Linked DNA regions of Schizosaccharomyces pombe. The protein of the gene in region 3 purifies or fractionates together with the protein of the main gene of each other region. This does not show direct contact. Each region holds a gene or a part of one and is shown on either strand. Other genes may lie near its edges. The genes, in order: rpn501, rpn11, mts4 and rpn1302.

Region 1 (3,724 bases), on a different chromosome or scaffold from region 3:
CGGTAAATTATTTTGAAGAAGTAGATGGTTTGCTTCATCATCAAAACCCCATTGACATATAACAAGGTTAGCTCCTGCGTCCTTTACATGCTTAATCATTTCCTGAAATTTTTCCTTCTCATAAGCTTGAAGGGCTTCAAATTCACTCACTGATGTTATGTCCAACTTATGCTTAGTTTTTGGCTTTGGTGGTTCAAAAGGGCAGGTTAAAATAGCAATCTTTGCATTTTCAATACGATGAGGCATTTGTGGATGCGACATGTCTTTGTCCACCACAACACCCTTTACAAGCTTTGTATCATCCACTGAACCACCAACCTTGCCATCTACTTTAATGAGTTCAAAATCAACATCTTTTCTCTGCAAATCAGCAACAGAAAGGACCGCGTCCACAGCAATGTTTGCAAAGTGATCATGAGCTTTGGAAACCACTTTACTACCCAAACTAGTCTTAGCAGAACGAAATAAATTAGTAGTGTTTTCGGGACTAAAGTCGACAACATCTGAAATAGCATCTAAATGTTTAACAGCCACCTGGCATGCCTTTTCGTAACCATCTGCAATCCTTATAGGATGTATACCTTTGTCTATAAGTGCCTCGGCCTGCTCCAGTAATGCACCTGCTAGTACAACAACACCAGTAGTTCCATCCCCAATTTCATCATCTTGAGATTTAGACAACTGAACTAACAGCTTTGCAATTTGATGTTCAACCTCCATTTGGTCGAGGATTGTAGCACCGTCATTGGTAACCGTAATCTCTCCATCTGGAGAGATTAAAATTTTATCCAGTCCACGGGGACCCAAAGAAGTACGCACAATATTAGCAACTGTTTTGGTAGCTAATATGTGACTTTTTACAGCATCAATTCCATGCAATCTTCTCTTCTTTTCCTGGTCACGTACTAAAATGAAAGGATTTCCTTGATCGTCACGGACCATAACAGCGTTATCTAGACCGGCCATTTTGCTCATCTTGTTATTGTGAACTGTCGATGCAAATGAATTTCAAGTGATAAAACTGAACGCTACACTAACCCAAATCCTTGAAATACTTTTGAACGATTTCACAAAGAACCTTATCTCTTACTTCCCTTTAAATCGTTGAAATAACTTGAGGTTCAAGCTTAGGGTGTATTCTTTAGAATGTCGTTGAAAGCACGTCTAATATGTTGCGGCCCTTCAGCATTTTACGAACTTCTATAGAAGAAATAAGCACTATATTTCACTAATGTAAGCTACGCAGTTTGGTATCTGATTTAAGGATACGTAGAACTGCGGTGAGTTTTCCTTGTGGTCTATTATATTACAATACACAGGTTGTATAAGTAGCAACTGAGTATAGGTATTGTATTAACTGAGTTATAATGTTACCTATCACTAATATAGCTCATAACTGAACTGAGGAACGAGGTTCAGTTGTAACGCTATTTATAATATTTCTAAATAGTTGTTATCAACGGGTATCTATGTATATAGACGGATAGTTACCCGTGATTATCAATAAACGGATCTTAGCTAGTATTCCAACATATGACATATAGTGATACGCAACGTAGTGTATCATAGCGTAGTGTACTATTGCTGACAACTAAAGTATTTTGCGAGCGTGCGTTACAACTCTGTAATCATAAGAAATCAACTCGCAATATTAGTCTCAATTGTACACTCTCCAACAACCCACATATCGAAATGGAACAGAAACCGGAAGTTGATTACTCAGAGAAGTTTGCAGAGTTACAAAAAAGTTTAAATAACCTTAATACCATAGACATCGTACGTAAAAATCAAAATTTTGACTAATCTCTAACTTGTAATTGTAGGATGCGAACCTCGAGAAGCTTTTGATTTTTGAGAAGCAAGTTCGTCAGGCTTCTGACACCAGCACGAATACGAAAGTATTAATATACATTGCTGATTTGCTCTTTCGAGCTGGTGATTTCCAAGGCTTAAACGAACAGTTGGTTAGTCTCTTTAAAAAGCATGGCCAACTGAAACAATCGATGACAAGTTTAGTCCAACATGTAATGACCTATCTTCCTGGAATTGACGATTTAAAAACAAAAATTAATTTGATTGAAACATTGCGTACTATTACTGATGGAAAGATATATGTGGAAGTAGAAAGGGCACGTCTTACACAACTGCTTTCCCAGATTAAAGAAGAGCAAGGTGACATCAAATCTGCCCAGGAGATCTTGTGTAATGAACCAGTAGAGACTTACGGATCTTTTGATTTGAAGGAAAAAGTTGCATTCATTTTGGATCAAGTTAGATTATTCTTACTGAGGTCTGATTACTACATGGCATCTACTTACACGAAGAAAATAAATGTTAAGTTTTTTGAAAAGGAAGACGTCCAGTCTTTAAAACTTAAGTATTATGAGCAAAAAATCCGAATTGGTTTGCACGACGATGCATATCTTGATGTTTGTAAATATTATCGAGCAGTTTATGACACCGCCGTGGTTCAAGAGGACCCCGAGAAATGGAAAGAAATATTAGAAAATGTCGTTTGCTTTGCCTTGCTTACTCCTTATGATAACGAGCAGGCAGATCTTCTTCACCGAATTAATGCTGACCATAAACTAAATTCTCTTCCTTTACTCCAACAATTGGTTAAGTGCTTTATTGTCAATGAACTAATGAGATGGCCCAAAATTGCCGAAATCTATGGAAGTGCTTTAAGGAGTAATCCTGTTTTTGCTGAAAATGATGAAAAAGGTGAGAAACGTTGGTCTGAACTTCGTAAGCGAGTCATCGAACACAATATTCGTGTAGTCGCAAACTATTATTCCCGCATTCATTGCAGTCGTCTAGGAGTGTTGTTGGATATGAGTCCTTCCGAAACAGAACAATTTCTTTGCGATCTTATTGCAAAGCATCATTTCTATGCCAAGATTGATCGCCCAGCTCAAGTCATTTCATTCAAGAAATCTCAAAATGTGCAAGAGCAATTGAATGAGTGGGGTTCCAATATTACTGAACTTCTTGGAAAATTGGAAAAGGTAAGACAGCTTATTATAAAAGAAGAAATGATGAATTCTATTCAACAGGCGGTAGCCAAATAAATTGTTCCGTCTCTATTTCATTTCGTTACTTTCATGACTTTGTCATTTAAATAATATACTATTGGTTCAAAGGCCTTCAACTTTTTTTACGAGAATACAATAGTTTTAATGTCGAATTGCAACCTCGGAGAAAGTTATTCTAGTAAGTTTGTAGTGATTTTCGTTGTTATTTGTCTCGTAACTAGAAGGTTAACTTGATGAATTATTTTAAATAAATTATTGTAGTTCACTCAATATGTAGTCCCTTAATTTTTATTTCAGTTGAGTTTAGTTAAAAGATTGCCATTGGTATCATATCTGGCCTCAAAAAAAGTATAGCTTAGAAGAATATCGTCAATATCCTTCATATTTGGATCATCAGCAAATTCTGGATCTATAAAGAAAAACACAGGCAAGTCTACTTTTTCATGAGCATCTAGCTTTTGCTCTTCAAAGCAAAAGCATGCAACCTTTGAGAAGTAAACAGCGGCTTGACCTGGTACTATATTATAAGTTGCAACTCCTACTATGTCATGGTCGGACGTATTTTCAGCAGTATAAAACCCTAGAGCAGTCTCGCCTGGAAGAACATATATTTCACGCTGCTGGGGCCAAAGCTTCCAGCTAAGGTTTCCTGCAACGTCGCCATTGAAAGTAACTCTGATTCTTTTATT
Region 2 (4,181 bases), on a different chromosome or scaffold from region 3:
CTTACATCAAATAAGCCAGAATGCTCCCGTGTCCACTTATGACTGGCACTAATGGTTTGACCTTTATACTGTACTGGCATTGAAAAACCAGCAAAGGGGACTATGGTAGCTCCTTCTTTTAAATGCAGATCATATAAAGGAGTTCTCTTGAGTGAAGAAGAAGCTGCCGTAGAACTTTGGCGCTTTAAGATTGATAAAGCAGCAGATCTATTCATTATGAATTCAAAAAACCAGTTAAATATTGGAGCAAGTCTTAAACGTTGAAAATAAAAAAGAAACCTTGTTAAACTTCTTAATAAACAATTGTTTGTTGATTCCGTAAACCAACATACGTTAGTGGTTGGCAAAGGTTGAAAGATAGATAGGAATACTTGACAAGTACAATATCATGCTACATCAAAAAATCATATCACGCTAAAATGTCATATAATAAATTAAGTAGCCTCAGTTATACCTTTATGTATTCAACTTCAATGGTTTGACGCTGATCGACGATCCTTACAGGTACATTACAAACAATCAAGGAAACAAAATTTTTAACATGTTGGTAGAAGATGTTTACAAATTCAATAATTGAAACAATTTTTTCTTATTGGGAAGAAGCTTGAAAGACTGGTGTGCAGGTATATCTTAAGGATCTATGAAAAAAAATATATAAGAATCCATCAAAGCAAACGCTCGCAATCTCAAGAGCTTACCAAAATATCATCAATCATACTCCACGATCATGTAAAAAGTTTTAAAAAAAATGTACTCCTAGTCACGAATATGAAATCGTAAAAAAGTAGTATCAGATTCGACCAACAGGATTATTCAAACAGTTCATAAATGCTTTGAGTAAGGAAAGAAAGTAGCTCATAAAAAACGGATGATGGAAAAGAGGTATTACCAAAATAGATGTACTAGAAGGCAACGGAATCAAGCATACAAGCTAACATGGAAGAAATATTGTTGTCTATACATTTCTGAACCTCAGCGTCAAGATGCTTCTTGGGATCTTGTTTACCAACGTATTGAATACGAAGTTGCTCCGGACTTAAAGTCACTTCATTTTGAACACGTTCAGTGTACTGTTCTGACAAGGATTTCATCTTATCAATAGAAGCATGATTTTTTTCCGCAGCAGAATTAAAGTTTTCAAGTAAAAGACCATGTGCCCAAGGCTGTTTGTGTAAATTCAAAAGCATGATCTCTTCAAGCTCAGTTTTTTTGTAATTGATGCGAAGGGAGTAGTAATGTCTTCCTAAACCGTGAATTAAAGCTTGAATGCTAGGTTTGTTGATGTGACCCAAATTGGAAGTTGTTTGTCTGGGTTCCTGACCCATCATTAGGGTAGACGGATTAATCAATCGAAAGGCGTCAATTACCACCTTTCCTTTGACAGATTGAATAGGGTCGACAACAACTGCCACCGCTCTTGGTGTTAATTGCTCAAATGATTGTTGGGTGTTGATATCGACACTAGAAAGCCAACAACCAAAACCCGGGTGAGAATGATACCAACCTACAACCATTTCTGGCCGTCCTGTTTGCTTAAGCATATCCATCATATTTTTTTGGAAAACTGGATCGACTGCTTCTACACTGACACCTGTACCAGATTGAGGCATTGCAAAAACATCAACAACACGTACTGTAAAGTCATCAACGAATTCTCCTAACATCAAACCCATAACTTCCATTGGTGTACCATGTCGCCCATGACGAAGCATTTTTAACAAAGCTAGAGATGAAATGTATACACACTCGGAATTATCAACAAGAGGCTGATCTCCCATCATACCAGTACCCATGCGGGCACCTTGTAACAATCTTTGTAAAGATTCCATCGCGAAAAATATGACTCGTATGTATGTATTGAAATATGAGAGTTTATCAGTATCAGTGGGGTTCCTCTCAAATAACCGCAAATAAAAGTGTAATTGGAGATTAAATGAGAAACTCAGTATAAGTATTTAAATAAAGTTACCAAAACGTTAATGCTGTTCACTGATATTTAGTAAGACGACAAAAACAATCAAAGGTCACTATAATGTGCTTGTTCTTCAAAGGAAGTTCTTTCTATATGTTTCAACCACTATACAAAACGAATATACAAGATTCTATGTCTTTGGTCTCACTTAGGCAGCTAGTATACGTTTACGTGGTAGTTGGCTATAAACAGGTTTTTTCTAGAGACAAATGAATAGCTATAACAATAATGAGGTATAATGCGTATTGTTAAAATAAAATAGTGATTTCATTAGAGTGCGTAATTCATAAAAGAATATGGTAGGTGGATGGAGAAAAACTATGCAGAATAGAGGAGGCATCCATTGCTATTTAAGTATAGCTATTGAGAGAAAAAAGGACGTGTTTTGAAAACTAGCCGGGTCCAATTTTAGGCATGTCAAAATGCTCCGACTGACTTTCCAGTAGTCTATTATACTCATCAATCCTGTCTTTATGTGTTTTCAATCGCTCATTCTTTGCTTTCTGAAGTAATCTTTGTTCCTGAACAGACTCAAAATGTTTCTGTGCTTCCGTCATCGGCATAGCCGAGTCTGTATCCTTTGAGCGAAGCATTTGGTACGTAGATACGCCATTTTCTTCTAAAGGTGATTTATCTCGGGAAGAATGCTCTTGAACTTTTTCAGCAAGTTTTTTAGAATCCTTCTTTTTCTTTTTCAAAGGTTTTTTTTTTACATTTTTCAGTTTTAGAGAACCACCAACGTAGTCCATAGTTCTTGGTAAAGGTAAGTTGGTGTAAGCAAAATGTTTGAACTGTACGATAAGAGGTGAAACAGTTTAATACATTTTACACTAGGAATTGAATTTAAAAATAAAATAAAATAAATATAATTTAATAGTAAAAGTGTAATAAGTAATACAATAAAAGAATTGATGTATGTTGTGCAAGTTTATTAATGGGCTCAATTTAAAAAAAATATGTATATATATGTACAATTTCATTGTACAAGTATACTCTAGAAGCGACGATTATTCATTAAATAAATTATTATTACTTTTTTTTTGGTTAATAATGATACTTGAACCGTTTCTTTTAAGAATTGTAGAAAAAATTGAATATTGAAAAATTGAGTTACTCAATGCTCATCAGAAAAATACGGAAAAACTTATAATCGATATTTTTAAACTGATTTGTTTTTATTAGACTCCTTTTAATTACTTAAAATATTTATTTTTATGAATAAATAAATGCATTTCGACTTGGACTTTAACACATTATACGGTTAAGTACCTTAAAACAGCATAAAAAAATAAATGGCAATGCATCGGGATGGTTTCTCAAATATATTAAGCTTCGGTAAAATGTTGAACCGACATCTAACAAACTCCTTACGCTTACTATTAGCTTATAGTCTGTTATTTAAGATTAACGTACCCTTAATAGAAGTGACATTGACGTTGGACGCGACGCTGATACCTAACCACAGCAAACCTCTTTTTAATGAAAGGAAACAATTGAATTGATTACATTACAATTACTATGAAGGTAAATATATTTTACTTTTTATTTGTCTTACTAAACCCTGTTTTTGTGACCAGTTTCTTGAGCTTGCCGATTTAGATACAGTCAATAATGCCTTATCATTTGATGCCGATGATTGTCGCATACGCGGAAAGTGCGAGCTCTATACAACCAAGGTAAATTTAACTTGTAAGCTTGGTTAGTCTGGTAAAGGGAAAATTGTACATTGGTTCTTGAATTTGACATATGCTTTTAATAATGATCCTCTTTTCTTGCGTGGTCAAATCACTAAGTTGAACAATTTTGGTTCTTTTTGGTCTCTTGTACAAGATCAGCTAATTATATAATCATTGTTTTTTTTTGTGATTATTTATTTAGTTTCTTTACGTTTCAAATCTGAAACCAAAATGATTACGATTGTTGTTTACCAAATGGAGTACCGCGTCTGAGTGTCTGTTTTTAGATTCGGGAGCATTCTGCTTTATTAACTTACCAAGACATGAATATACTGATATATAAAATGTGCTAACAATTTTATAGAGTACAAATTCTGACAAGAAACTCTTTAAAGCTATAGAGAATCGGTGTCAGGAGGATCTATTTGCATTATCGAGTAGTAAATCACCGGAATATGCTTTCAGCCTAACTCAGCAAAGTCCATTTGGGCCTCTTGATCAGTCCTCTTCTCGTCGTACCTTTATGTACATTG
Region 3 (5,543 bases):
CCCAAAACTGGGTTGGAGATTACCAAGGTCTTCAGATTTTAATATTAAAAGGTTTCCGTTCAACTAATTCTTTTGAAATTACCATGAATTTTTTCCTTTTGCTGATGGATTTCAAGGATAATGATTTGGTTGGCGTTGGTTATTTGAGGATACTATCCTGCTTGTTGGTGTCATTACCAGCGATGGTATATACATACGAGCATTCAGATCCTATTACTTTTGATTTAAGTGTTTTCTGTCATAAATTAGCTACTCTTGCTTCACAATTTAACGATGATGCATTGATTGAGCTTCTTGACACATATCTCAAACGTAAATTCAGGTCAATTAAGGATTTTTTAAAACATACGGTTTCATACCTATACTCCTATTATTTTGAAGATTACGAGCTAGAAATTGTTAGTACTCTTACGATGTTTCTATCAAATAATTTGACTTGGTTTAGAAAGTCTACGTTAGATGTGTTAAAAGAACTCTTTCCATTAATTGATTTCCAAAAACCTATATATTCCGAACATGGATTAGGTATTGTTTCACCGCTTCTTCGACTCTTACCTACTGGTTATGCAATGGAAGCGTTGTCTTTGCTAACCGACTCAGTGCTTCATGTATCTGCTCCCACAGATATGCAAACCTTAAAGTTATTAATGGTTGACCCTAAATTAAAAAATTCAGATGATCGTCTGGCTGGATTTTTTGAAATACCTGACGAGGATGGATGGTATGAACCAAACTCTGAATATGCAGCTGCTATAACTAAAAGCAACGTACATGCCGTATTTTATAGCTGTTCCACTACCGAGGCTTCTGTGAGTACGCCAGAGGTTAGATTTCATGCTGATGAAGTATCCAATTATCCGCGACACGTTCCTACTGACAGTCATGGTTCGCTTGACGAAAATTCACTAGGAGAGCTAGTTACAACTCTTCATAGCCTCGATGTCTTCTTCGCTGAAGATAGGGATGAAGAGTTAATTCAGCCTGATGTCGCCGTTGATCCAAAATTAGATATTACATCGGAAGATTATGACGATCGGATAGCTACGATTCTTTCAGGTAGCCTTAGACGGCAGAAACAAGGTCTTATGGCTTATGAAACAGAATCCTTCAGAGATTATTCACCGAACGAAGAAATTGATGCATCAGCAAAATTGCCGATGGACATGCCGCCGGTGAGAGTAAGAAAGTCGTCTTTTATCTCTAAATTAAAACCTCATTACTTTATGGATGCTGAATCTTATTATCCTTCTTTAAAGGCACTTGGTAATTCGGCGGAACATCGTTTATCTTTGGACGAAATACGAGGTGCAGCAGAATTGAAACAAAATAAAAATTGGAATTCCATGTTAGATCAATCTGTTTCTATGATTAATGAAGATTCAGTGGAAGACCATGAAACTCATGAAAATTATTATCATTTACGTACAATGTTTCAAGGAAGTGAAAGCAATGAATCTTTTACTGATACAACTCGATCCCGCGGTTGGCATTGAATTTGCCTATACTGGTTTAGTATACTTATACAAGCTTTTATGGTGTTCATGTGTGTAAGATGGAAAATTAGTCGGCAACGTTTATGGATGTACTATATAAAACTATTCGTTTGTTTTCATTATTTTATCATTTGCATTTTTTTGTTAATTTAAACTCGAAAATTCTTTGACCATTACAGCCTTTAATTTTAGAATTCAAAATCTTAGAGCGTGTCATGTTATTAAAAATCAAGCTATAACTATGGTAATTAGGTGTAGTGATATAAATCGGTTTCATATGTCCGTATTTAAACAAATGAAAACATAAAGAGTCAATCAATAACGAGTTATTTTACAACAATTCTTATAAGAAAAGAGGCATGAGATAATAATGTCAAGCATCGTGTAATAATGGTAATACATTGACGAACTTAAATAATAGATTATTTTTTCATTTGTACTGATCCATAAAGAAAGCATAGCGTGTTGTTAAATCTAATTAACGTGATAAATAATCAAATACGTAAACAATCGGTATACTGGTTCTGACTAGGGTGAGAGTAGTTTCAACGACAACACATTACTACTCAGTTTCAGAAAATCTTAGGAATCTAGAAAATGAGTTCTAAAGACATTAGTTCGAAGTCCCCGAGTGGTAATGATGCATTAAATGACAAAAAAGGGACAAAGACTTCAGAAACTAATGACAGAAACTCAACGAACAATACCAAAGAAAGGGATGAATTAGAGGATTTAGTAAGTTAAAGCCCTATTATTTTTCAAAATGAAAACTAACCAAATAGTCTGAAGAAGATTTACAATTAAAAAATGATTTGGAATTATTAGTTCAAGCTGTTCAAGATGCCACCCCTGAGTTGGTGGGTTCCAGTCTCACTCAGCTTAAAGAAATAATTCGTACTTCTACCTCCTCTATGACGGCCGTTCCAAAGCCTTTGAAGTTTCTTAGACCACATTATTTTACTCTCGTTAAAATCTATGATTCCTGGCCGCAAAGCCCTCAGAAGACTCAACTTGCTGATATCCTTTCAGTATTAGGAATGTCCTATAGTAATACAAGCAAACATGAATCATTAAAATATCGTCTTCAGGGCGTTACCACTGATCCTTCTTTATGGGGTCATGAGTATGTTCGCCATTTGGCTTCCGAAATAGAAGAAGAGTTTGCCAGTCGCCAGGAAGAGGAAGCGCCAACCGACGATCTTATGGAACTTGCATTGACCATTGTTCCATTCTTCCTTACTCATAATGCTGAGGCTGATGCTATTGATTTATTACAAGAATTGGGTGCTATTGAAAAAGTTGTACCCTTCGTAGAACTTGATAATGCTTCTCGCGTTTGTCTTTATATTACCAGTTGCGTTAATCTTTTGCCATTTCCTGAAGATGTCGCCATGTTAAGAACAGCGCATGCTATTTATCGGAAGTTTGACCAGCTTACACAAGCACTTAACGTTGCTATCCGCCTTGATGATATGTCTTTGATAAAAGAAGACTGTGAAGCTGCTACGGATCCCTTGTTGAAAAAGCAAATGTCTTACATGCTTGCTCGTCAGCAAATACCTATGGATATGGGAGACGAGGAGTTAAACGATGCTTTAAATAACACTCATTTATCTGATCACTTTCATTATCTAGGAAAGGAGTTGAACCTTATGGATCCTAAAGTTCCGGAAGATATCTTTAAAACACATTTAGAAGTGGCTAGGACTGGATTGGGTGCATCAGGAGTGTATTCCGCCAAACAAAATTTAGCTAACACTTTTGTCAATGCCCTTGTCAATGCCGGATACAGTAACGACAGATTAATTTTGGTCGATGACGAAAAAACGTCTTGGATTTATAAAAATAAAGAATCTGGTTTAATAAGTGCTACAGCTTCTATTGGCCTATTACAATTATGGAATGTTGACATGGGATTGTCTTTGTTGGATAAGTATTTATACTCTTCTGAGGAGAATACCAAGGCTGGTGCATTGTTGGGAATTGGTGTTACAAATGTTGCAGTAAGAAATGAAGCTGATCCAGCTATGGCAATTCTTTCTGAATACCTTGAAACTGGCTCCGTAAAGCTTCGTGCATCAGCGATTTTAGGTTTAGGACTTGCATACAGTGGAGCTAATCGCGAAGATTTACTCGACATGTTATCTCCAATTGTTACGGATACCGATTGCCCTATGCAATTATCCTGCTTAGCCGCATTATCTTTAGGTCTTATTTTTGTTGGTACTTGCAACGGCGATGTAGCTAGCACAATTTTACAAACTCTAATGGAGCGTGAAGAGTCTGCCCAAAATGATCAATGGGGCCGTTTTATGGCTCTTGGCCTTGCCCTTCTTTTTAATGGTAAACAAGACCTTGCGGATGCTACAGTCGAAACACTGAAAGCTATTGAGGGTAAAATTGCACGACAAGCTGAAATTTTGGTGGATATTTGCTCGTATGCTGGAACTGGCAACGTTCTTCACATCCAAAAATTGCTTCATATCTGTAGTGAACCTCCCAGTGATGATGCTAAGGAGAGTGAGACTACTATCCAGACATTTGCAGCACTTGGTGTTGCTACTATAGCTATGGGTGAAGATATTGGAGCAGAAATGGTTTTGAGACATTTCGATCACATGATGCATTATGGCGAACCCTCTATTCGAAAAGCTATACCACTTGCATTAGGATTGCTTTCCGCTTCCAATCCTCAAATGCGTATATTTGACACGCTTTCACGCTATAGTCACGATAATGATTTGGATGTTGCTTACAACGCAATCTTTGCAATGGGTCTTGTTGGTGCTGGTACTAGTAATGCGCGTTTGGCTCAATTACTCCGCCAACTAGCCAGTTATTATCACAAAGAATCCAACGCTCTATTCATGGTTCGTATCGCTCAAGGTTTACTTTACTTAGGAAAAGGAACAATGACGCTTAACCCTTATCATACAGAACGGCAGATTCTTGGTCAAACTGCTTTTGCTGGTCTTATGACTGTTGTATTAGCTATGCTAGATGCAAATACCTTTGTCCTTGATACCTCGCATTGGTTGCTTTATGCTATTACGTTAGCAATACGACCCCGAATGCTCATTACCCTTGGTGAGGACGGTCAATATTTACCAGTAAGCGTTCGAGTTGGTCAAGCAGTAGATGTGGTCGGTCAAGCTGGTCGTCCCAAGGTCATTACGGGTTGGGTCACACATACTACACCAGTTTTGTTGCATCACAATGAGCGAGCTGAACTAGCGACGGAAGCATATACACCTTTGACTTCGTTGGAAGGTATTGTTATTTTAAAAAAAAATACGGAGGACATTGAAATGACCGCTTAAATGACTTGAAGTTAAATGACTACAATTTTTATGTACTAATGCTTGATTTCCAGTTCTTTGCTATTAATAAAACAAACTGGATTGTTGAAATTCAGCGCCCGATACATTTATTTTTCTATTTCGATTATGTTAAATTCGTATTTTTTAGATTAGAAATGTTCTAGTATTGTTCTAAATTGAAGTAGCGGAAAGTATATATACATGATTGCAAATTTGTAATTAGGATTATAATTTCTGTTTCTTTTTTTTTGTATTTGTCGCGTTACCAAAAGGTAATAGAACGTCCACTGCAGAAACGTCTTGTTGGATAAAAATTGCCCGAACTAAGGAGCTACCATTTCTTAGTAAAAAAAATTTAGACCTGCGTTGGAGCTTAATGCAATTATCAAAGAATGAATTTTAATCATCTTCTGATAATCCGACAAAGGAGTTGACTGCTTTGCGACGCATCCCTTATGTCACGTTTCTACTACTGTTTCAATACCTAACCATTACATTAAAGGTAAAACTGCACATTAGATACTTCGCATTTAGGGAATAACGGTGAATAGCTTTATTTAATTTCAAATATTATCTTGAATTGTTATTATGTTTCATCATATGCAGTCCCAAAGTCTGCTCATCGTTAATTCATTTCCACAGGTAAGTTGTGCATTCATTTCGTTATGTGAAAAAATGGAATGACGCTCGTATTTGAATTGATAGAAATGTCATATATGACTATTAGGGG
Region 4 (4,173 bases), on a different chromosome or scaffold from region 3:
ATGTCATTAAGAACATCTTCGGGAGGATTAGTTCCTAACAAGTCTAGCATAACGTCTTTAATGGTTTGATCCATGATAGGAATGATTTCTTGAGGGTATGAGTAAAGCTGGTGATATAGCTTCTTGGTTGGGGGATAATGCTTTAAATCCTGAACATCAAGATTTAATATTTCCAAACCCATAATACGCATGTTTCGTAGCGCTTCAATATACACTAGTTGTTCGGCATCAGGAGGTGGCATAAGTTCATTTCTGTATTCAGGTCGATACTTTTTCTTAAACCCACGTAGAAATCCACGAAAGGAAGCGATACTTTCTTGAATAGATACATTTGTTCCCCAAATGACACGGACAGTGTCATCAGCTACTTCACTGCTTGGGTGCGCCTGACTAAACGTGAGTGCATCTGACCCAGAAAACAACAAGCTACTAGGAGTGCTTACCCCGGGACGTTGAGGGTCAACTTCTCTTCGACGAGATGGGGTAGACATTTGCACGCTAGAATGGATGTCTCCACGTCTTGTCGAGCGCGGTGTTCTCTGCGAACTACTGTCAAGGAACAAGTCATTACGCTGAGATAAAAGATGAGAACGTGAACTCTGAGGAATGTTTGGACCTGGTGAACTAGATTCAAACAGTAAAGGAGAGGAAGCGAGAGGTGTACGCGCTGTAGTCCTCGGTGTTGTAAGGCGTGTAGAACCAGGAGACGAAGCAGGAAAAAATAACGGAGAAGAATCCACTGCTTCTCTTGAAGAGCTGTTAGCTCTTCCAGGAGTCCTCAACTCATTGGCTCTGCCACTTTGCTGACTAGAGGACATGACTCGTGGTGGGTGTAGAAAGACAGTGTAAGGGAGTAGAGTAACTACTCATAAACATACAACAATGAAGAGATAAATAGCATAGCAAAGATTTAAATAATTGGAAATTTGTATAATTTTTTAACAATTTGTCATATTCTCCATTGATCATCAAGCTACCAGTAATTGACTATGAAAATGTAAACTAAAAAACTTTGCGACACTAGATATTAGGATCAATTAAAGCAAATTTGTTATCATAAATAAGGTATTATGAATTTGTTATTGACTTACTTCCTTTTAAGTGATATTCTATTTTTTTGGACGAATGAAGAGAAATATGAAAAGAATGTTGAAATAAAGGATTACATTGCTTTAATTAAACGTTATGCTAGTTTAACATTTTGAGATGATCGTTTTTGCAATTTGGAACTACCAGTTGTATTTGAAGGTCGAATCTATTAACTGTGATTTGACGCTAATTGAAGAGGGCAGATGGTGATTTAGTAATTTTACTAATAATATTTCTTAAAATAAGGTTTATTTTGAATTTTCTCTCATATTGAATACCTGAGTTGTTATTATATTAACCATTTGTAGAGTTCATTTGACCATTCGACTACTGGACTGTCTCTAATAAAAAAAACTTAAGTCTGTATATTATGAGTTATATGGTGTGAATTTCAAATAGTGTATGAATGTATTTTTCTATTATTTCTAGTGAAATACCATTGTGTAGGACGCATACTTTTTCTCGATTATGTTTTGCTCTTCAAAACCTGAAAGGATTATAGACATTTATTGTATCTTGATTTTCTTCTATGTATAATTGGTGAAAACTGGTTTATTCTGTTTTACTATTGATGCCATTAACGATGATACAAAAATTGGCTTATGTCTTTTCAAGGCCCTTTAAGAGATGAATTCCACTGCATAGTGGAACGTTCCTTTTCCTTTTAAAGTGTAGTATTAATTTGCTATTAAAACATCTTTTTAGGCGAAACCATCAAATGCGGCTTGATAAATCAGCTTCAAATATTAGAGCAGTTAACCACCTAAAAAGATTGTCTATTACATGATAAAAGATGATTATAGTGGCGACAATTAGAAAATTAAATGATTTTGAGAAATCATGTCTATAGACATGATACGTTTGTGTGGATTACTTTGCTCACTTGCACTGTGTACACTGCATACTCAACTATACCACAACAATTCACAAGGTCAATAATCGTGAGCTTTTGAGTTGACAAAAAATAAATTACAAATGGAATCAGTTTTTGGAAGAGTAAGAAACGAGACTAGCGAGAGAGGAAAGTATGGATTAGTCTCCGTAAAAGCTGGAAAACTTCAAAGAAAGCCAGGAACGAATATTCTGCAAGCTGATCACCGAAAAGGGTATGTACTATAATAATAATATAGATAGTAGTCCTTTCTACTGGGAAAACGAAATTCTACCCAAAGAATTGTTTATGAAGCTTCTTTGCATGTTTACGTTGGAAGGATGCGTGAAAATCCACACTGTTGGGTTTTGTGGAATTGTTTTCTGTTTATAAAGTTAAAAGATCTGATTTTTAATACTGACATTTGTTTAGAGTTATCTATATGCAAATGGCTTCTGATGAATTATTGCATTTCTATTGGAAAGAAAGGGCCAGGGTTTCTAGAGAAGTAGAAGATGTATGAAGACAATTTAAATCAATTGCAAAGTATACCTATTTATATATATAAATTTACTTTTGCGTTTTTTTTTTTTTAATTTGGTTTATGTTTACTAACATATAATGAAGGACTACATCATATTTCCAGAAGAAGCAGAGTTTATCAAAATTGATGAATGTACCACGGGACGCGTATATGCACTAAAATTTAAATCCTCTTCGCAGATTCATTTTTACTGGATGCAGGAGTATAGTGATGAAAAAGACAAGGAAACAGCTTCCTTAATCAATCAATTAATTGCTGACCCTGTGAATACGACTCGGACTATCAACTCACATAATAATTCTAGCAGTAGAGGTACGGATGATTCATCAACCAGCCAACTGCTGCAACTGTTTGGTGCAGCAAGCCAAGATGCTCTGCAAGACTTTAACTGGGAAGTTTTATCACCTACAGCCGAAGCACCGGCTATCCTGCCAAGATTTCCTAACGTTAACGAGTCAGCAAACATGTATCGTGCGTCAAGTGAGTCGAATTTGAATGGACCACATGCTACAGCTGGTGAGAATGGCGAAGATCACGAGGAGGCAACGGCCTCCCCTTTGGATGAAAACATCGATTATACTCATTCACGTACGTTGGAATTATTAGAGCAACTTCAGCCCTTGATTTTGAATGAAACGACGTTTGTCGAGCCTTTCTCCATTGACAGAGAATCTCATCGTGTGATTACACATCCTAGAGTGTATCCCAAGATTTTCCCACATTCTCCTTCCGACCTTTTGCGCATCAGCGGTCGTGCAGAGTTGAGCGAAAATCGAGATTTTTTTAAGCACTTGTCGAGTTTAATGGAGGCAGTTGCAAAACCCGAGTCAGAGTCGTTGCGTGAAATTTGCAACTTGAGTTTAGAGCAAGTGCAAAGTGCTAGTGGAGCTGAATTATTTTTGCATGCGTTGTACGACCGTTTGGTGAATGAAGGGGTGATTGTGATTTCGCACATAACACAAGAAGGTTCTGATGGCGAAGTTGAGGAGGAAGGAGATGTTGAAATGAGAGAAAGTAACGAAAAGGACGAATAAGAAGCGTGGAGAGGAAAAGACGAATTCGTATATATATATTTTAATATATGTTATGTTTATGAACAACAAGCTAGCACAAAGAACGTGATGTAATTGTAAAAGTAGAGTAATCGTATTTCAACATTTAAGCTTCCTTTTTTTTTTTTTTTTGTTTATTTGTTGTTGACGGGAGAGGATTGTTGCAAAGTACTTGTAGGGGTATAACAGCTTGTATAGGGAATGGTTTCACCTTTCTCGTTTATCTGATATTCTTCCAAATTTACAATGAATTATATATCAATTGCATTAAGCTACATATCGCAATATCATTAAGAATTCAAGAAATACTTCTCTTGCGTGAAAGAAGTCTTTAAGCTGCTTGAACATAAATCAAAAAAAAAATAAATTTATTAACTAAATATAGAGTTACTAGTACCCCATTAATCATGACTGAGCAGAACTTATCGCCAGGAGCCTTTGAGCTCACTGTGAAAGCATCGCATTCTAGTGTTGCCTTAAACTACATACTGCATAATTACAATTTCTCAATCAAACATATCGATGACTATGCGCAACTTCTTAAACCATATACCGATTGCATTTTCTTATTTTAAATCAATATACAGCTTCGTACTCTCACACTAAAACTACATACC

What was found.
Region 1: the proteins of mts4 (region 3) and rpn501 purify together in Schizosaccharomyces pombe (affinity purification with western blotting; 3 studies listed by BioGRID). This does not show direct contact.
Region 2: the proteins of mts4 (region 3) and rpn11 purify together in Schizosaccharomyces pombe (affinity purification with western blotting; 4 studies listed by BioGRID, with this or other methods). This does not show direct contact.
Region 4: the proteins of mts4 (region 3) and rpn1302 purify together in Schizosaccharomyces pombe (affinity purification with western blotting, with the first as the bait; one study listed by BioGRID). This does not show direct contact.

Annotation. Positions count from the first base shown.
Region 1 is NC_003424.3:1,264,577-1,268,300, forward strand, and holds rpn501 (19S proteasome regulatory subunit Rpn501), read left to right. Parts: upstream 1-1,692; coding exon 1,693-1,776; intron 1,777-1,823; coding exon 1,824-3,071; 3' UTR 3,072-3,204; downstream 3,205-3,724. Other genes in the region: chaperonin-containing T-complex epsilon subunit Cct5, read right to left, coding at 1-966; rsm22-cox11 tandem protein cox1101, read right to left, coding at 3,329-3,724. UniProt on the Schizosaccharomyces pombe protein: Acts as a regulatory subunit of the 26S proteasome which is involved in the ATP-dependent degradation of ubiquitinated proteins. Required for proper proteasome assembly.
Region 2 is NC_003424.3:3,008,627-3,012,807, reverse strand, and holds rpn11 (19S proteasome regulatory subunit, ubiquitin-specific protease subunit Rpn11), read right to left. Parts: upstream 2,163-4,181; 5' UTR 1,830-2,162; coding exon 903-1,829; 3' UTR 501-902; downstream 1-500. Other genes in the region: glycine decarboxylase T subunit gcv1, read right to left, coding at 1-215; SPOM_SPAC31G5.21 (FAM32A family protein), read right to left, coding at 2,365-2,721; RNA polymerase III-inhibiting protein Maf1, read left to right, coding at 3,491-3,496, 3,550-3,648, 4,013-4,181. UniProt on the Schizosaccharomyces pombe protein: Acts as a regulatory subunit of the 26 proteasome which is involved in the ATP-dependent degradation of ubiquitinated proteins.
Region 3 is NC_003423.3:2,850,600-2,856,142, reverse strand, and holds mts4 (19S proteasome regulatory subunit Rpn1/Mts4), read left to right. Parts: upstream 1-2,040; 5' UTR 2,041-2,090; coding exon 2,091-2,228; exon of another isoform or gene 2,229-2,275; coding exon 2,276-4,813; 3' UTR 4,814-5,022; downstream 5,023-5,543. Other genes in the region: morphogenesis protein Mor2, read left to right, coding at 1-1,493. UniProt on the Schizosaccharomyces pombe protein: Acts as a regulatory subunit of the 26 proteasome which is involved in the ATP-dependent degradation of ubiquitinated proteins.
Region 4 is NC_003421.2:897,047-901,219, reverse strand, and holds rpn1302 (19S proteasome regulatory subunit rpn1302), read left to right. Parts: upstream 1-2,000; 5' UTR 2,001-2,064; coding exon 2,065-2,195; exon of another isoform or gene 2,196-2,198; intron 2,199-2,318; exon of another isoform or gene 2,319-2,392; coding exon 2,393-2,477; exon of another isoform or gene 2,478-2,587; coding exon 2,588-3,538; 3' UTR 3,539-3,612; downstream 3,613-4,173. Other genes in the region: mcm4 (MCM complex subunit Mcm4/Cdc21), read right to left, coding at 1-818. UniProt on the Schizosaccharomyces pombe protein: Component of the 26S proteasome, a multiprotein complex involved in the ATP-dependent degradation of ubiquitinated proteins.